Linked DNA regions of Cricetulus griseus. The protein of the gene in region 5 purifies or fractionates together with the protein of the main gene of each other region. This does not show direct contact. Links are inferred from orthologs where the notes say so. Each region holds a gene or a part of one and is shown on either strand. Other genes may lie near its edges.

Region 1 (3,512 bases), on a different chromosome or scaffold from region 5:
AGAGTACTTTCCTGCTATGCATAAAGCTGAGTGTGAGCCAGCATGCGAACATGCGTGCACACCCGACACCATGCAAGGTAAAGCACAAGCGAAGGCACCACCGAGCCACTCAGGAGCGCCATTAGTGTTGTCTTCTCCGCTGCACTAAAGTCATTGACTACCTCAACCCCGAGTGCAAACACTGCCCATCTACATGCCTCCTCAAAGCCCTGGGTTCTTCTGCCTGCTGTTCAGAAAATGCTGCTCAGGGAACAACCTCAGCATCTGATGTAAGCTCTGGCGGGCAGGCATGCCAGGCAAGACCCTCCTGACACACTTGTCCACAATGTCTAAAACTAGGCTGCTCTGCACCGTCACCTCTAGACAGTAGCAGCCTCCGAAGTCTTGGGTTGAGAGAGGTCAGTGAAAAGTGGGGAAACGACCCCCCCTTGCCATGTCCAGGCGTGTGGAGGCTGGAGCAGCTGACAGTGTGTCAGGAGGAACTTGGTTGTCACGCGCTTCACGGCAGGGAATGCTGCTTACTGCACTCCTGTCCATTCCCCATCAGAACAGGCGCCAAAGTCACACACTCACACTTCACACACTCTTAGCGCCAAACACACTCACACTTCACACACACTCTTAGCGCCACATTCACACCTCACACACACACTCTTAGCGCCACACTCACACCTCACACACACACTCTTAGCGCCACATTCACACCTCACACACACACTCTTAGCGCCACACTCACACACTTCACACACACTCTTAGCGCCACATTCACACCTCACACACACACTCTTAGCGCCACATTCACACCTCACACACACACTCTTAGCGCCACACTCACACTTCACACACACACTCTTAGCGCCACATTCACACCTCACACACACACTCTTAGCGCCACATTCACACCTCACACACACACTCTTAGCGCCACACTCACACTTCACACACACACTCTTAGCGCCACATTCACACCTCACACACACACTCTTAGCGCCACACTCACACTTCACACACACACTCTTAGCGCCACATTCACACCTCACACACACACTCTTAGCGCCACATTCACACCTCACACACACACTCTTAGCGCCACATTCACACTTCACACACACACTCTTAGCGCCACATTCACACCTCACACACACACTCTTAGCGCCACACTCACACTTCACACACACACTCTTAGCGCCACATTCACACCTCACACACACACTCTTAGCGCCACATTCACACCTCACACACACACTCTTAGCGCCACACTCACACTTCACACACACACTCTTAGCGCCACACTCACACACTTCACACACACTCTTAGCGCCACATTCACACTTCACACACACACTCTTAGCGCCACATTCACACCTCACACACACACTCTTAGCGCCACATTCACACTTCACACACTCACCCTTAGTGCCACACTCACACGCTTCCTTCATGCTTGCAGATGGCACAGGCCAGGCCCAACAGGAGCTACTGTTCTGACAGACAGTCTTCTCATTGGCACCAACCCTTTGCCAACAATCAGAGCTAAGCAAGTGACAAACAACCCCCAGCTGCTAACAGAAGAGTCTCCTACAGATTCGGTGAGGCTGAAAAGGAAACTGAGGTCTTAGATCCCAAGTATGTTTTGCTTTCTGTGTAACAAGTGTTGGAGAGGAGAAGCAGAGTCCCAAGAGATAGCACTCACCCCTTTATTGGCAGCAATGCAGCATTCAGCCAGCCGCAGCCAAAGCCGGGGATTTGCATGATAAACCTGAACAGCTTCAATCAGACACTCGAAGGCAGCCAGTGGCCTCCCGATGTGCAGCAGCTGGATCCCACAGTTGTACAGCAGTTCATACCTCTTATTGGTTAGCAAAGTACACATGGGTCTTCCAGAAAACTTTTTGCCTAGCAATAAAAATTGCAGACTAGATTATTAAATATATTTTTCTTTCTTTCTTTCTTTTGTTTTTTGTTTTTTCTCTGGGTAGTCCTGGCTGTCCTGGAACTCAACTTGTAGACCAGGCTGACCTTGAATTCAGAGATCCACCTGCCTCTGCCTCCCAAGAGCTGGTATTAAAGGTGTGTGCCACCACCGCCTGGCTAGAATATTTTTTTTAATCAATTAAATAGATGCTTATGATGTAAAAATTAGCAAACTACTTGATTTTAAGCATTTCTGATCAAGGATCCACATAATCTGAATGTTAAATGACAAACTTCAGTCATGCTTTAAGGCTGTCAGATATCACCAATCCATCACTTGGGAAGTTCCACCAACAATTTATAATAACGCTGGCCTAACAGTGGAGAAATCCTAATGACTAATTAGAACTGATCAACACACCATCTAGGGTTACTGATTCAAATCTAAAACAAACTGAGGTAACTGAATTTTCTTCCTTTTCCCCATGTCTGTGAGTTTTCATGTGTGTACGTATGTGAAAGTATAAAAGTCTGAGGTCGAGGTGCTCTCTTAATCACTCGGGCCTTTTTGTTGCTGACAGTTACTGAAGCTCCCTGAGAGGGCTGGTCTCACCAGCCAGCTTGTTCCAGGATCTTGCCTTGGCCATGGGTACACAGCATTTATGCAGATTCTGGGGTCTGCTCCCCTTGTTTAATTGCTGAGCCATTTCCCCAGCCCCCCCCCCTTTTTTTGGTAAGTCAAAGTTTCTCTTAGCTTCCTAACATCAAGGTGCAATAACTACTAAATGTCTCCAGAGCCAAGTCTGTCCACACGGCCTGCACCCTTCGATGGGATGACCGCAACTCCTTTTACTATGGAACCTTCAAACAAAACTTGTCACTTCCCCTGAGCTCTGACTGTATCTCCCACACCCAGCTCTCCTCCCCCATGCTTGCTCTCTCAGTAACGTGTCTCTAAACAGGACACTGCAGTTCCCAGTGCTGCCTACCTGGATCAGTGCCACATGCACTGAGCTGGGCACAGACATTGTCATTTTCTTGCAGAGCCTTCTTAAAGTAGAAAATCCCCAAATTGTGCTTGCCCATGGCAAAATGGATGCAACCAAGATTATTCCAAAACATGCACCTCAAGCATTCACCTGAAAACAACACAAACCACTTTATCCACACAATTTTGTTTTTGCAGTCCCTCATATACAAATCAGATCTACTTGCTGTCAGTTAGTTAATCTATCTGGAATGTCACTTAGTCGCTAAAAGGCAGTTCATTAGGAATGGTGTAAGTGTGAGGACTGGATAGGGTGACACACTCTTTCTGGCAGATAATACTATTTTAAGTCAACCCTGCATACTTTTTTTTCTGACCTTATTTTCAGCAAGTGACAAAAAATAAAAACAATATACATGCCATACATCCACAGTGAAATACCATATAAACTGCAAACAATGAAGCAATCTAAACATGGAGGCTCAATGGTAGAACATATAAGGTCTTGACATGGAAACAGCTAAAATACACTAAGTGAAGAATAAATAACAGGGAGAATGTAGGCAATAGAACAGAGTATACAGCACTCAAGAGGCAGAGGAAGAGGCAG
Region 2 (4,115 bases), on a different chromosome or scaffold from region 5:
GAAGGAAAAGAGCTGGGCGAGTCAACAGGCTTAGCCAAGGAAGTCTATTTCTAACCCAGGCTGTGTGGGACAGGAAGAGAGAACTCCAGGAGGAGGTCGGGGAGGTCCCCACAGGCGGGGTGGGGAAGGACCCCACAGCCACATCCTTGCTACAACTCTCCAACTCTTGGCTCTGAACCTCAGAGATCTGGAGCATGAGAGCCACCTCACTCACAACATCCCCAAGCACCCTCCTGTGACACCCTACTTACAGTTCCCAAGACACCCTTCTTGGTCAGGCAGCCCCACTAGAGGTATCCACTCCAGGCGGGGTAAGAGGGCCGGAAAGTCTCAAGTCTCGGGAATCACCTCATGGGAGACGGGAAAAACCCGCTCCTCCCCGACCTGGGGCTCCGCCCCACTGCCGCCCCCCCCTTCCCAGTCTCCTCCCTCCCTCTATGGGCTGGGAGTGGCTCCCTACCCCCTTCTCCCCATTCTCCTTTCACATCCCTGCCCCCTCCTCCTTCTCTCAGAGCTGTCTCATCCAAACACGGGGAAATAAGAAATAAAAAGTAAACATCTGGAATACATTTTTTTCCTTTAATTTCTCAATCGTTTTGGCTTCAGCTTGGAATTTGATGAGGTAAAGCCAGGGCCTAGTCCTGTTACCATAGCAATGGCCTCCCACTGGATTTCCAGGGCCTAGCCAAAGGGAAGGAGGAGCCGGCCCAGGATGGGCAGGGAGAGGACAGACTGGACTTGATTGGGGGGCGGGGGGTGGGGGTGGGAGGCTTGACTTGGAGGAAAACTCCTCAGGGTCCAGCCTTCCAGGACAGTCAGGGAGGGACCTGCATAGACTGTGAAATAGGAATATGTGTGGATCACTAGCCTGGAAACGGCCAGAAGGAGTTTTGAGGGACCAGAAGAAATTAAACCAGATGACAGCCACATAGTAGTAGCCTGTCACATGAGCTTCTGAATCTGATATTAACAGATTTAACAGCTAAGTGGGTCTACCATTTTAAAGCTGTGTGACTTTTCCCTATCTGAAAAATGGGGTATTAAGACTTGAGTTTCAAGCCAAATAATGCATGCAAAATACCAAGCATGGAAGTGATAAGTAACAGTTGGCCACTATTAATGTGACTACATTCGGAGTCACTAATGAGCTAACTAACATCCTTGGTAACCACCTATAACTCTCCCCCTACCCTAGGCTGCATTCCTAGACCAGTCCTTCATGACCCCAAGTCATCAGTTCTTCAGGCACTCCACCTCCTCAGTTCCCACCCTGGGTGCTGATGCACCCTCCCACCCACAAGGCCCCCTCAGGCTCTGCTACCTGATGAATAGCAAGCACTGCCCCTGAGGTTCAAAAGCAAGGGAGAAGCTGCCTAACACACGGAATGCACACAACCCTGGAGGGGCAACCCAACCCTCACTGTGTTGCAACCTCAAAGTCCCTTTCCCACTCCAACTGGTCTGAGAAGATAGCTCTCAATGCTAAAAACGACCTGTGGTGCCCAGTCTTTGCAAAAGGCATCCCCATCCCCTTGACCCTGTCCCAGCTTATTTCGAAGAGGGTATGGAGAGAAACTGTGACAATGTCAATCTCTGATCAGCCAATTACCACGGGCTGTGCGTGGGAGAATAACGTGTGTGGGGGGGGAGGGGGTGACAGGAAAAAATAAAATTAAAAATACACAAGATTGCTTCCTTGTCCTTGAACATTATTACAAGGGATATGGTGTGGGTGGTTAGAAATGAAGAAAAACTAGTCTAGAAAAAAAAATCCTCTCACCTGTGGGCTTGATGGACACCTCTGAGGTTATAAGGGGCTGCAGAGATGAAGACAGAGGAGGTGGCTACAGTAGAGAGGCCCCAGCCAGGAGCCCCAGGAAACCAAGGCCATGGCCTCAAGCTGCAGAATCGCAGTGCCTCAAGAACTCCGCACCCTTAATGGTCTAGGGAAACCAGACAGCCTTGGGAGTAAAGGCTGCCCCCAAAGGATGGGAAGGCACTAGGCAGCCTCAGTCCTGGGCAGGCAGGCACCCTAAGGGCCGGCAGGGTCGTCCCTAAAGGTCTCCTGCTGAATGTGCGACTAGTGCGACCAGGAGGGTTAAGTGTTGGAAGAGGGAGGGCCAACAGGAAGGCGGAACAGCCCAGGGCAAGGGGCTGTTTGGAGGGCCTCCGTGGGGAGCTTACGGACATCGAGCGGCCAGGCGAAGAGGAGGAGCAGATGAGGGTGGAGGAGGAGGGGGCGGCAGCAGCGGGGACAGTGAGAGATGCCAAGCAGCCCGCGAAGGAACAGACCGAGGACTGGCGAGGAGGACTGTGAGGGCGGCCTGGGGTGGCTGGGGGCGTGCCATGAGAGTTGAGGAAGAGGGCCGGTGAAGGCAGGAGGGGGGGGTCCCTCGAGTAGCTCCGCCCGCCCCCGGCCCGGCCCCGCCCCACCCTCGCCTCTCCCCGCTTTCTTCTGGCTCCCGGCACGAGTGCTCTCCACCCCCGCACACACGCTCCAGCTCCGCAGCGCCCCCGCGTCCCCAGGCCCTCGCAAACTTTCCTAGTGACCCCCCCACCACCATCGCCGCCGCCCCAATCTGAGGTCGGGACTGCTAGGCGCCCGGTTCTTTCCATGCCCTTCCCCGCCCCCATCCCCGGACCCCGCCCCCTCCGGCCGTCGCCGCACACTCACGCGCTCCCCGGGACGGGCTCCGTTCGGCTAGGCACCCCGACGCCAGTGACCGCTGCTGCCGCTGCCGCCACCGTCACCGCGGGACCGAGCCAGTGCAAGCCCCGGGGCCCCTCCCATAGCCCCGCCCAGGGACACGCCTCCATGCCGTTCATGAATATTCATATAAGAATCCGTGAGAGGGAAGCCGAAGCTGAAACAGAGTCCGGCCCACGAGATGCAAACAAGCACAGCTCGCACATAATTATTCATGACCTTGTAAATGAGGAGCCGGTCCTGATTCAGACTTAGGCGAAACTGACGCAATTTTACCCCAGCGCCACCGAGATGACTGCCTAGAGAGGAAACCGCTCTGGACTGCTTTCCCTAAGCCTACACTGATTACAGCACCATAGAGCGCGGGCAGCACGAAGGGAACCGCTGGCGGACTGAACAGGCTTCCTGTTACACCTGAGTCTTCCTGGGAGCGCAAGCGACGTGGCCACCCGTCGTGTATAAATTCAGATTGAAAGCCACAGTAGAAAGTGGAGTAGCTTTTTCCCTCGTGTTATCTGTTTAAGAGCTCTCTTAGATACACTTCCCAAACATGAAATTTTGTAGCCCTCCCTTCACACACTTAACTTCACTCACACACTACTCATCCTCCTGACTCAGGTTTCCACTCCCTGCACTAGAAAGTCGATCCTCATTCTATTACCTCAAGCCTTATAAGACCCTTGTCTCCTAAAGTGATTAAGGATGGAGCTGAGAACCCCGCCCCCTCCGACTCCCACCCCTGTGCTGGCTAATGGAGTGGAACTCTGAGAGGCTTCCTAATCAGATCAGCACTCATTTCTTGACTCTCAGGTGGCATTGTTCACAGACAAGGGTGAAAACCAATGCTTGTCCAGCCAGGAAGGACAGGATGTGCTTCAAGACTTGCTTCCCAGCTGGGCAGGAGGGCCCTGCAGAGTCCGGATAGAAGGGTAAACACCACATGTAAAGTGGGAAAGGAGACATAAGGACATGGTTTCCAAAGTCAGTTCCATTTATTAAATTGACTTCACAGACCAGAAATACAAAATAAAAGTAGAAATAGGCCCCTATTAGGAGCTACAGGCCTGACTTCACATGACCCCTGATGCAGCCACTTGAATAAGACAGGAAGCAGCTTTATCCCTACAGTCGGGCAAGTGAGCCGAGGACTTAGATCCTTCAACGCACTGTGAGCAGACAGAATGCACTCCTACCCAGTCTTTCCCCAGATTACAAGGAGCCATTCTTGCAAAGCAGCTGAGGTTAGATGTTTCCCTTGATGCCTGCCTCAGAGAAGTGGAAGCCACCAGGAGCAGTTACTCAGATGGCACAGAGTCCAAGAACTATGTAGAAAGCCTGGAGATGTGACAGGGCAAGGACAAGAATTTTCTTCCTCTACTCATCAGATCCTGAGGCAGAGTCCTCTGAG
Region 3 (4,299 bases), on a different chromosome or scaffold from region 5:
AGAGAACCGGATGTTTTCTATTCAGCTCTTTCAGTGCACACCAGGCCTATTGTTGGCAAGAAAAAAACAAAATTCCAAGAATTTCAAAGGCTGCTCCTCACATGTCTAGCACATGATAGAGCCACCCTCTCCTGAATCTAATTACAAGTAGGTGAACAGAGCAAAGACGGAGCACTGAACACGAACTGAAAGAGTGCAGCCTCTAGCTAGCCTAGACAGCCCGACACCTCAAAAGAGTCCCGCTGGGCAGCAAATGCCATCAACATTGTTGCAGAGAGAACCCACAGCAGATACAGTTACTAACTGCTCACACCTCATTGGGGTGTTGCTCTATCTAGGGGTTCAATCTCATCATAACCTTGAGACCCGTGTCTCTATTTTACAGATCTGCAGAGAAGAAGCAAAGCCTGAGGTTCAGAAACTGCCTTTGACATTTCTACCCCAAAGTCTGGCTGTGGGATTTCACTTCCCTGGAGAAAAATTTTAGGCAATCCCGTTTGAAAAGCCAGCAGGTCATATTTTGGAATCTCTTCAGGAACAAAAATTTAAAATGAAAAGGGCAGTGTGACTAGGAGATGGGATGTCAGAAGGTGGACACCTGCTGTATGCTTACCTACAGCCCCCTGAAGAGGAAGCACCAGGCATGGAGGCAGGAGCCGCACTAGGCTCCCCACTTCCTCCCTGGGAAGGGGCAGGGCTCCTGCGAGGCCTTAGTCTTCCTGCCTCTTGGGAGAGAGAGACCACGAGGCGACGGTGCATCCCAGCTTGGCTTCGTTGCCACCAGAGCCCTGTCGCCAGTGGATGGAGGGCTCCGGTCGTCGCATTTTGCGCTAGCCCGCAGCGCTAAGAGCCGACCGTGCAGGTCCAAATGCCGCACTGCGGCCATCCGGTTGCCATGGCAATGCTCTGGACAGGTCCTGGGAGGCCGTGCTCAGCTGACCTCCGTCGTGACTCGGTTTGGTGGTGCTCCCCACCCCCAGCTAATGGTCACCCAGAAGGGGTTCCGCGGGGTGGGGGGGTGTTTTGTGAATGGGAAATCCACGGTGCAGCAATCCAAGGGTCAGGATACCCCACGTGCCCTGTGCCATCACCTCCAACCAGTAGTCGTAATGCGCCCTGACATTAGGAAGGACGTCTTGACTGGAGACTTGGTCAGAGGGGCCACGCCCTCGGGGTCAGCTGTTCCCGCGCAGGACACCCCAGAACTCAGCTGAGGTCGTAAAAGAGGAACGGCCAGGTCTCTACTGTCTGGGCCGTCTGAGAATGCACGTCACACCTCGACCTGAGCACGAGTCCTCCGACACCGCCCAGCCCCCTCATTCTGCGCTTGCGCAGAGAGGCGGGCGTAGTCACCTGAGCGCGCACTTGGGGCGGAGCGGGGGGAAGGGCGGGCACGCGCCCGCCTGTAGTGACGCGAGAGAGTAGGCGAGTCGGGAGGGCTGAAGGGTAGAGCGGCACATCCCGCAGGTTTGGTGCACATCGTCGGCCTCTCTGGGCCCCGGGACTGGAGTCTCACTGGCTCTCTGGGTTCCTGGAGCGGATCCGGGGCAAGAGGGAAGAGAGCTCCGGGTCAAGGGCCACTGCTGCCCGGACTCGGCCGCCAGCCCGCGCTCGGCGGGGCCGCCAGCCAGGGTAAGCGGGCTGGGTTGTTCAGGGTAGGAGCGTGGGGCGGAAGTGCCTCCGTGGCGACCCATCCTACACACGGGAACACTGAGGCGCAGAGTCCACGGCTCTCCGGCTCCCCGGAGTTCGGCTTGGAGGCCTTAAGGAGTGGTAGGGGAGGCTGGAGGCTGCCTTGCTTGGATCTTGGGGGTAATGCAGCTTTGCGTGGTAGGGCCACCCTGGGAGAGCCAGCAAGCTGGTTGGGGCGCCGGCTGAGTTCAGGGTTATGGCCTGGAACGCTCCGGAGGAGACCTGTTGCCATTTCTTCTAACGGGCCGCTGCTTCCTCTTGCGCTGGTCTCGCACGGCAAAGTCTTTGTTTAGTCCTCTGAAACAGGGAAGTGAAGCTTATTGTTTCCCAGCCGCTCTGGCGAAAACAGAGCCAGACGAGCAGGAGACACTCAGCTGAACGATCTGCACTGTTGGCAGGGAGAGCATGTTTCTGGCTTTCGCACTGCTTGCTCGTCATAGCTCACCTGGATGCACAGGGACCTCTGCTTCGAAGTTTGGATAATCAGGAGCAGTCTGAACAGATTGCTCTGCAGCCTGCACAGGGCAGAGGGGTGTCTGATTGATTGTCTGTGAACACCTTTTCCTTTTGCAGTTTCAAATGTAGCTGGTGTGAGGGATCAAGTTTTAGCCAGACAAACATTGTATGGGATAAAAATTTTGCTTTAAGGGGTTGGAGAGATCGCTCAGCTGCTAAAGCGCATTCTGCTCATGCAGAGGACCGGTTCGGTACCCAGTAACCACATCAAGCGGCTCACACCACCTACTCTAGCTTCAGGGTATCCAGCACGCTCTTCTGGGCCCTGCCAGCACTGCACTCACATCCACTTACCCATAAATAAAAGGAATAAAAATAAAAATTTAAAGAATAGTGCAGACTGGGCTGAGAGGTGGCTCAGCGGTTAAGAGCACTGGCTGCTCCTCTAGAGGATCCTGGTTTGATCCGCAGCACCCACATGACAGCTCACAGCTGTCTGTAACTCCAGTTTAGGGAATCCATCGCACCAGGCATGCATATGGTGCACATATATCTATGCACGCAGGCAAAATACACATAAAAATAAAACTTTTAGTTAGATGTGCACTATATGACCCCCCCTTGTATGTCTAGAATCCCTGTGGTTCTGACTGTGAATGACAGGGTCCAAAGCCAAGCAAGGCTGGTCTGGAACTTCGGATGCAAGCCCAGGGTGGCCTCCTGAGGCATGAGCCACCACTCTCCCCCTGGTTCATTTTCAGTTGAAAAGTACTGTCTTTCTGGGCTGGAGTCTGCTATTCATATTCCCACAGATCTGCTAGGGAAAGGTTTGCTATGGGTCTTTGTTAGTGTCTGCTCCCGTGTGGTCCTTCACCAGATAACATAGCAGTGGCTTTGAAAGTGGTTGACATCCTAAAACAAATTCCCTTTTAAACAACTTCAGGCGCTTCTTTCGTTCTCTTTCTTCCCTCCCTCCCTCCCTCCCTCCCTCCCTCCCTCCCTCCCTCCCTCCCTCCCTCTCTGCCTCCCTCCCTCCCTTTGTTTCTGCTTCCCTTTTGCTTTAATGGAAACATCTTTTTAAAAGTTCAGGAGTGACACCACTTACCTTCTGTAGTTTATGGTTGTGCCCAGCCCAGAGAAACAAGGCACCTGTTTCACAGTAACTGGGCATGGAAAGTGACTTCAGGAGCCAGATGAAGGGGCTCATGCCTGTAACTGTAGCACTTGGGAGGGGGAGACAGGATTGATTGTTACAAGTGTAGAGGCCAGCCTGGATAGCTCCTGAGTAAATGTTTTCTCAGTTGTCAGATGTTGAATTTACTGCACATTCATTGTGAATGTGCATCTTTCCTGTCCTCTATTAGCTCACTTGCAAACCTTCATTAATAGAACAAAAACACGAAAGGTGGATTGTGCCTCTAAGAAGTAGCTGCCACGTGTGTGTATATGTTGGGAGCTACCACAGTCACTTAAGTTTTTAGTTTCAAGGAGGCATCTGCGAAGTGACAACCTTGAATGAAAGGTCTAATAGGAAGTAGACAGCATTAAGAAGGATCCTCAGGGGGCTGGAGAGACGGCTCAGAGGTTAAGAGCACTGACTGCTCTTCCAAAGGTCCTGAGTTCAATTCCCAGCAACCACATGGTGGCTCACAACCATCCGTTATGAGATTTGGTGCCCTCTTCTGGTGTACAGATATACATGGAAGCAGAATGTTGTATACTAAATAAATAAAATCTTTAAAAAAAAAAAAAAAAAGGATCCTCAGCTGGGTGGTAGTGGCACATACCTTTAATCCCAGCACTCAGGAGGCAGTCAGGACAGCCAAGGCTACATAGAGAAACCCTGTAAAGATCCTCGATCTCTTCTGGAGTTTCTACTGCACCTGTCAGTTTTGAGATAGAAAACAAGGACTTCTCTTGTTCTGGTCTTTAGAAAACCCTCAAATTCATGTACTGTTACTGAATTTTTTTGCCCATGTGCACTAGAACTCAGCATTACATACTGTGTAGAGGATCCATACAGTGGGTTTACATTAAAAGGAAGCTTTTATGGGTTGAAGAGTTGACTCAGTGGCTAAGGGTACTTGTGAAAGACCCAGGTTCGAGTTCCAGCAACCACAGGTAGGCTTACCACCTCCTCGGACAGCAAGC
Region 4 (4,127 bases), on a different chromosome or scaffold from region 5:
AACAGAACTATCTTACACTAGAAGGAAGCATGGTCCTCTGAAATCATAGTATTACAGATAATGCTGATTTTCTGGGTGCGGGTTCTTTAAGCTAGGCGGCTGGAGACTCAAAGGCACTATTTTAAAGGGGGGCTGCAAATAAGAAGAATGTATGTATATAAATTGTGTGTTGGTAACTGCTCTTTTCTGTAAGACAGAAATGCTCTTTTCTGTCTTACTACCTGAAGCTTGCAGCTTGTCAGATAGTTTTTCCTGCGGTAATGTAGGCAGAACAGAGAGAGCGAACCTTCAGAGCTCTAGGGAGGGGCCGGCAAACTGCAGCACAGGTTTGACAATCAGCTGCCCGGTTGTTGTGGCCCAAGGGGGGGGAAAAATAACCCACTGGAGCATGCAACACCAATGCCTTCTCCAAAGCCCTCCACGACTCCCCGAGAATCTCTGCACTTTGGCGCTTGTCCCCGACCGTCCAGGAGGTTTGGGCCTCTCACCCGCTGTCACGTTGTCACACAGCCTCAGCGGGACCCTCAGAGCGTAAAGCAGCCCCAGCCCCGCCAGGAACCACAGCGTGGACCCAGAGTTCGCCAGCCCGGCCTTCAGCCGCTCTTTCCAGCCCAGCGGCGGGCCCAGGCCCAAGCCGGGAACAGGTGCATGGGGACACCCCACAGCCCGCGCGGCTTCCGCGAAGTATTCCCCGTCCGCCATCTTGCGGCTCCGGCAGGCGCCGGGACCTGGGAGGGGAGAAGGGCAGGAAACCCGGAGTTGGGAATCCTGGGATAGTGGCGGACTTGAAGCTGGCCTCTGTCAAGGCTGAGTCCTGGGGACCTGGACAGAGATCGGGAAGGCGACGGAGCGCGACCTCAGACCGAGGCGCCACCTGGTCCTCTAGGAGGGCGGGGAAGGATTCGAAGGTGGCACTTATTCTGCAGGAAACGGACTCAGTGTGGCGCTGGAGGGAAGTGGTTGTGGTTCCCTATGAGGTTGGGGGTCATCTTTCGCCCCGTTCCGGGACTGGAAAAGTACTGGTGTTGCCTAGAGCCGGGCAGCTCTTAGCGCACTGGACTCGGCTGCCTCGGAGACCTGCGGGACCAGGAAAACTCATAGGTGTAGGAACTGCTGCGTGACCAGAGGTAGCCCTGGCGCCACGGACAGTCGAGAGTCGCCACCGAGCTTCCAGGATGGATGGGAAAGTGACTGAAATTCAGTGAGAAAGATGTTAAGACTCCGAGGCCTCGATGGCAAAGCCTACTTTCCTAGAGCGTTGCCACTCCAGGCTGTCACACCCGCGCGGAACTGACATGGCGCCCTTTTGGCCGGAGCTTCCGGGCGGGTCCTTCCGACGGCCCCCTTGGTGATTCCACCACTCAGCTTCCTTCCCGGCCTGCCTCGCGCCGGTCGCCGGGCTGGGCCAGAGCAGCCAAGATGGCCGACTTCGAGGATCGGGTGTCGGATGAGGAGAAGGTAAGGGGTCCGCCTCTCTCCTTTACCTCCTCCCCCGACGGGGCCTAGGGGTCCGAGCCGGCAGCAGTGGGAAGCCTGGCGGTGTCCCCGGGAAAAAAAAAGCCCGTTTCCCGGTGCTGGCATACTCCCTGTGCACCCGGGACGCTTCCTTCCTTAAAGGGGCTTTCCTTTGCCTCACGGTGGCCCCAGTTCCCCATGCCTCAACTCTTTCCATTCTTGATCGAGCACAGCTTTCCTTTAAAAGAGGAGACACTTTACCTGATTGACTTTTAACTGTACTTTCTTTTATATAATTATAAGAGAGGGGATGAAGGTGATGTTGGGACGTGTCAGGCAGCAGCTATTTTACCGCCTTTGGCTGTTGGGGCTCCCCCCTCCCCATTTATAGGTATGATTGGGGTTAGTTTGGGACGAGTCACTTCCTGATCAGAGTTGCCTCCTTAACTTCCCTTTTGCTCCTCCTTCCTCAGGAAGTGATTTTGCTGTCATGACTCCTTGACAGGGAGAGGTCCTCTGTCTGGTATTATCTATCCACCTAACTACACACCCTGGTCTTTTCTCAGCTAGTGACGATTGAACTAATTTGATAAAAAATAAATCTGTAAACCTCAGGGCATTTGCTTAAGAGTTTGACTTTTGTTCCTGCTGCTGCTGTCTTGTGTCCGTGTATGGCCCCAAGGTGACTCCATCCCTTCTGTCTGTCTTAATCTTCTTAACTATAATTTTTTCAAAGTAATTTTGGCTTCCTGTTCAGCGAGGAATAGTAGCCAGTAGACTTTTTTTTTTTCAACTCCAGAAAAGTTTGGTAGTAAATAAACCTCACATTAACACATTTAGTTTAAATGACACACCCAGCCCTTTTTGATGACCTGCTGTGGTGTTTGATAGTTGGGTTTGACAGTGTGCATTGTGTAGTTAGATCTTTAAAGGCGGTTTAAATACAAGGGTGCATTATAAATTAAATGGAATGACTTTTTCTCAAAACAGCAAACGTTTACTAAGCAGTTTGTCCAAAAAAGAAAGAAGTGGCTGGCTCTACAGTAAACACAGCATTTTAGGGTTGGTAGAAGTAGAATGGTCTCACTAGATAACTCCTTATGGGACAAGAACATGTCTTTTGCTTCCTGCAGAGACTGTTACAAAGTGTGTACTCTCCAGTGTTCTATAAAAATCTGCCCAGGTTCTTATAGTAGTGAAAATATTGGAGATTGTTGGGAGGAACAGACTATTTTTGATCACTTCTCCATAAAGAATAACTTAACTTATACCTGTGTATGTGTGGGCCACCATTTTTAAATGCTGAAAATTTGCTTAATGCCTTTACAAACCACTTAACACGTACTGGGACGGCAGTTTCTTGGTAGAGCACTTTATACATGCAGTGTCCTGTGTTTGAACTTCAGCATCAGCATCAAAATAAAAAGCCAACAAATAACACATGAGGGTTGTTTTCTCTTAGGTGGAGATTGAGCATCATAAATGTAAATACCTAGGAAACAAAAAGACAGCTGAATTAACATTAGAAAGAAAACTATAGCAAAATGTTTATTCTAAGGCAAGTACTTTTGGTTCACATAACATCGTTAGAGTGAAATTTTATTCTGTTTCTTGAGACTGTGTCTCGTGTAAGCCTCCAACTCACTATATAGCAAGGATGACCCCCCCCATCCCTAATCCTCTTATCTCAACCTCTCAAGTATTACTGTTATATGCCATCACACTTAGATTTGTTGCTTACTTTTAATGATGATAGAACAAGCCAATAATTAGTAAATCTGCCCCAGAAGTAACCATGAATTTTATTCCTGTTTTAGTAAAGATCTTATTTTTTGTGTTTTGGGGACAGAGTCTTGCTATGTAGCCCTAGCTTGTCTGAAACTTGCTGTGTAGACTGGACTGGGCTCCAATTTGTCTCTTGCTTCTGCCTTCTATGTGCTGGGATTGTAGTCAAACCCCATGATGCTGGGTTTAATAGAGATTTTGGGGGTCTTTTTTTTTTTTTTTTTTTTTTTTTACTACATTGTCTTTATTGGTGTACATAACGAAATGTACTGATACAGTAAAAATCGTTGGAGATTTGAGCCAGGCATGGTGGTGCACACCTTTAATCTCAAGGCTCAGGAGGCAGAGGGTGGTGGATCTCTGTGAGTTCAAGGCCAGCTTCGTCTAAATGTGAATTCTAGGACTACATAGAGAGACCCTTAAGATTTGAGATTACTGTAGTTTTGTTAGATTCCTTTCCTCAGAGTTCACAGGCACATTCATATCTCTCTAAATCTATGAGTAAAAAGAAAGGGCTTTGAAAGACTTCCTGATTTGGGGGCTTCTTACCTTTGCCTGCTTTTCCTTTTAACCTTCAGATTTATTTTATCTGAATTCAAAACTTGAGAAAGGTAGGAAGGCTGGGCCTGATAGTGCCTGTCTGTAATATTCCCAGCTCTTGGGAGGTAAACAGAAAGAGGATTATGAATTTAAGTTTATCCTTGGTAACAGGGAATTTAAGACCAGCCTCAGCTACATGAATGGGACCCTTTCTCAGAAAAAAAACCAAAACAAACAACAACAACAAAAAAAAAAACGCTATTCTGAGAAAAGATTTTTCCAAGATATTTCCTGATTTGTTTACTTAGGGTTGTTGGGGATTTTTTGTTTGTTTGTTTTGAGAAAGT
Region 5 (3,512 bases):
GCCAATACATTCATAATTGCCATTGTCCAGGGGTTTGGTGGTCTAAATACCTAAAGAAAAGTTATGGTATTAAGCTACCTCTAAATCAAAGAATTATTTAGTAAGTATTATTTCAACATTTAAATTTACATGATCATAAAAAAAAACTCCAACACATTACAGAAAAACACTGAGGGTGATATATTCTGTCTTATAATTTCACCTAACTTTAAAACTATCTAAGACCAGGGATGGAGAGATGGCGCAAAGGTTAGGTGCACTGGCTGCTGGCTGCTCTTCCAGAAGTCCTGAGTTCAATTCCCAGCACCTTCATGGTGGCTCACAACCATCTATAATGATATCTGGTGCCCTCTTCTGGTGGGCCGGTACACATGCATTAAGTCTTTAAAAGAAACCAACCCAAAAAATAGCTCCATGTGCATAAGAAGAAAGCTATCTCTTGGGAATTGTGTTAACAATCTCTCACAACTCACCATGAATAACATTTACTCACCAGACTACGGATGCTGGACTCTAGAACTTTGGCAACAAAGGGCACTACATAAAGCAATTCTTGTTGTCCTTTAACATAAGCCTCTAGCAGCAAAGATTTCACATCCAAGTCCTAGAAATTTAAAACAAAATTTTGAGAAGCCAGGAATCTGTTCCAGAAGCCCTTGGGGGAAGGGGGCATAACTTAAAGGTATGTCACTCACTAAGCTTATCTCTCAAAGTACAATCAATACAATCCTTGCCTGAGAAAAAGAAAAAAAAAAAGGGGGGGGGGTACAAGCACACCTCACTGGATTTTCTATATCCTAAAAGAGCCCAAGAGACCATGAACACAAAATTAACAATTCTAACATGGTCCAAGTCTTGTAAAAGCCCAGTGATAATCAAAGCATTCCTTCTAGCCAACTTTTACATATGTATGTCTATCGTAAAACTCACCGTGTGCAAGATGGGTTTATTTTTAGCTAATGTGATCATTCCTAGCCAATGTCCCAAGTTCTTCAGCAAAGAACGATCTGAGAAATTGGCTGCAGCTTTATCAGAGGTCAGCAGCACCTAAAATAGTATAGGATATACAAATATAACAATAAGTTTATGAAAGAAATTCTCAATTTCATATTGAGAATTCCAGTATCCATTTTAAAAGTAAGCTATCAATTCTGAGAATACACCCAAAGTAGATCTATTCCATGTATCATTTAAGGAGCTCAATTGGTGGAATAGTAATCTACCATGTATAAAACCCTGGTTACAACACACAATGACACAGTAAACAAATAAATGGTTATTATTGAAATTTGCTCCAGTACATGAGAATCTCCAAAGATTGAAAAAATCCTTACTATAAGATAATAAAAGTAGAACACAATGTTCCTTAACTCCATAAAGCAACAGCAAAATGGCATAAGTCAGCTGTGCAACCAGGAGCCAGGAATTCTTTTTGCACTACAGCGTAACCTAGAATGGGGAAAATTCCCATCTGTAGGTTTAAATATAGTGCTACTTCCTAAGCCAGACCCAAGTTACTCAATAATGGATGATCTCAGCTTCATCTGGTTTACACTGTTTCTTGAAAAAGTTTCAAATTCAAACATAAATGGTAGTTTAGAAGTGAAACAGTTGAACTTTACGGAACAAGTATAATAAGAGTATATAACCTTGAACTGTAAAGAATTCCAGAACCCAAGCTATTTCACAAATAGATCTGGAATCTAGATAACCAACACTTAGCCAGCAAAAAGGTTTTATTTCTAGTATGTAAAAACCAAGATAGAGAACTGAGAACAATGCTGCAGCTAATTTCCAAAGAGATGAGGGAGAAGTGGTTGGGCGCTACCACGTCAACAAGACTATACACCACAAATATACTGTGTTACATGTTAGCATAAGTGGCCACAAAACCAGATATTCTGGTGTTTGATATTCTGAGTTGGAGCCCCGAGAACCATATTATAGAGAACCACCTCCTGAAAGTTGTCCTCTGAGCACACACATGTGCATATGAGCGCATAAAAACTTGGGCTAAAGTAATTTAAAATTAGGTCTATTGAACCCAGTAGGTTCAACATCTTATACAAAATCCACAACCCTTTCTGTGGGTATCTAACATAAATAACAAAGAGAAAAAGAACAAATCATCCCAAGTTATACCTGTTAAAATCAACTTAAAGTTATTAAAGGATTTATTAAGAACTCTTACTTTAATGTTTCTGTAGGTCTCATTCAGAACCATCTTGTTAAATTCTGGATTCTTCAATGTGTCAAGAAAGTTTGAATACAGGCTATGAAAGTTTGGCTCAATACTGACTCTTTTCATAACTAGATACTGGGAAACCCAAGGCATAAACTCTTCCTTCACGGTTTCTTTAAGCTCTTCCACCTAGCCAGTCAACATGACATAGGCAATAAATAATTAGTACAAATAGAAAAACAGACAGAATGAATCCTGGGTTTTATGAATCACACCACACAGCATCTGGCTCCACATAAACTCCATGATACTGAACTACTAAGATGGGTCTTTCCCCATGATATTTTGACAAGTACTCTTCAGATTTTTTTAAAAAAGATTCCCAAGTGTTGGTATTACAAGCTTACACCCCAAGGCCCAGCATATTAAACTTACATCTTTTGTTTGTTTGTTTTTGAGGCAGGGTCTCTCTATGTAGCTTGGAACTCACAATGTAGACCAAGCTGGCCTCAAAGTCTCAGAAATCCTCCTGCCTCTATTTTACTATGTGTCACCATGCACAACCTAAAACCTACTTATGATAATCTCTTCAAAGACTGTCACTTCAAAAGTACTATCTGAATCTTTACTCTCAAAAGGCAGGCATTGTTCCTTATGCTTCTCATAGGTGTACCTCACAGTTCTTCCTGGGTCTAATAAACACGTAGTTTCTGGAATAAGATAAAATGAAACCTCCCATCAAGGTTGGGCATGGAGGTTAGGACCTTTAATCCCAGCACTTGAGAGGCAGACAGAATTTAGAGGCCATCATGGTTAACATAGTGAGCTCCAAGCTGGCCAAACAAAAAACCCTACCACCAAAAATAAGTAACACTTCCCTTATCAGAAGGGCATGACATTATTTCAAAATCGCTACAACTCAATGCAAAACAATACAACTCAAAGGGATACTGCTTAATTCCTGCAAAAGTGCCTTCTTTTTTCCTTTTTAAAAGACATGTGACACCACAACCAACTAAAAAATCATACCTTTTAAATGGAGTTTGTTTGCTTTTGTTTTCAAGCAGGCTTTCTATCACTAAATGATAGAAAAGGCTAGTCTTTTCCTTGTGCTTAAGCAATTTTCCAACTTTGGCCACCTCAGTAGCTCAGACTACAGACTTATACCATGTACCTGACTGATTTAACTAAAACGGTTTTTAAAAATCCCTCTTCCCATCAAGGAAAAGGAGAGGGCATTTCATAAACTATTATATCATGCTTACCTTCTGGGTCATATTTGACTGTGAGAGATTGTTGAAGATAAAAGCGATTTTCTCTTGGATATTTT

What was found.
Region 1: the proteins of Cnot1 (region 5) and Cnot10 purify together in Homo sapiens (affinity purification with mass spectrometry; 4 studies listed by BioGRID and IntAct, with this or other methods). This does not show direct contact. The link is inferred for Cricetulus griseus from reciprocal best matches to the Homo sapiens genes CNOT1 and CNOT10.
Region 2: the proteins of Cnot1 (region 5) and Tnks1bp1 purify together in Homo sapiens (affinity purification with mass spectrometry; 5 studies listed by BioGRID and IntAct, with this or other methods). This does not show direct contact. The link is inferred for Cricetulus griseus from reciprocal best matches to the Homo sapiens genes CNOT1 and TNKS1BP1.
Region 3: the proteins of Cnot1 (region 5) and Cnot8 purify together in Homo sapiens (co-immunoprecipitation; 5 studies listed by BioGRID and IntAct, with this or other methods). This does not show direct contact. The link is inferred for Cricetulus griseus from reciprocal best matches to the Homo sapiens genes CNOT1 and CNOT8.
Region 4: the proteins of Cnot1 (region 5) and Capza1 purify together in Homo sapiens (affinity purification with mass spectrometry; 3 studies listed by BioGRID and IntAct, with this or other methods). This does not show direct contact. The link is inferred for Cricetulus griseus from reciprocal best matches to the Homo sapiens genes CNOT1 and CAPZA1.

The regions. Positions count from the first base shown.
Region 1 is NC_048597.1:221,673,495-221,677,006, forward strand, and holds part of Cnot10 (CCR4-NOT transcription complex subunit 10), read right to left. Parts: intron 3,054-3,512; coding exon 2,904-3,053; intron 1,897-2,903; coding exon 1,694-1,896; intron 1-1,693. UniProt on the Homo sapiens protein: Component of the CCR4-NOT complex which is one of the major cellular mRNA deadenylases and is linked to various cellular processes including bulk mRNA degradation, miRNA-mediated repression, translational repression during translational initiation and general transcription regulation.
Region 2 is NC_048599.1:90,486,587-90,490,701, forward strand, and holds the start of Tnks1bp1 (182 kDa tankyrase-1-binding protein), read right to left. Parts: upstream 2,807-4,115; 5' UTR 2,675-2,806; intron 2,165-2,674; exon of another isoform or gene 1,781-2,164; intron 405-1,780; exon of another isoform or gene 252-404; intron 1-251. Other genes in the region: FACT complex subunit SSRP1, read right to left, coding at 4,082-4,115.
Region 3 is NC_048600.1:72,166,475-72,170,773, forward strand, and holds the start of Cnot8 (CCR4-NOT transcription complex subunit 8), read left to right. Parts: upstream 1-1,490; 5' UTR 1,491-1,632; intron 1,633-4,299. UniProt on the Homo sapiens protein: Has 3'-5' poly(A) exoribonuclease activity for synthetic poly(A) RNA substrate. Its function seems to be partially redundant with that of CNOT7.
Region 4 is NW_023276806.1:52,113,490-52,117,616, forward strand, and holds the start of Capza1 (F-actin-capping protein subunit alpha-1), read left to right. Parts: upstream 1-1,327; 5' UTR 1,328-1,419; coding exon 1,420-1,458; intron 1,459-4,127. Other genes in the region: St7l (suppressor of tumorigenicity 7 protein-like), read right to left, coding at 489-702. UniProt on the Homo sapiens protein: F-actin-capping proteins bind in a Ca(2+)-independent manner to the fast growing ends of actin filaments (barbed end) thereby blocking the exchange of subunits at these ends.
Region 5 is NC_048596.1:171,936,704-171,940,215, forward strand, and holds part of Cnot1 (CCR4-NOT transcription complex subunit 1), read right to left. Parts: coding exon 3,448-3,512; intron 2,372-3,447; coding exon 2,192-2,371; intron 1,494-2,191; exon of another isoform or gene 1,358-1,493; intron 1,048-1,357; coding exon 931-1,047; intron 605-930; coding exon 494-604; intron 51-493; coding exon 1-50.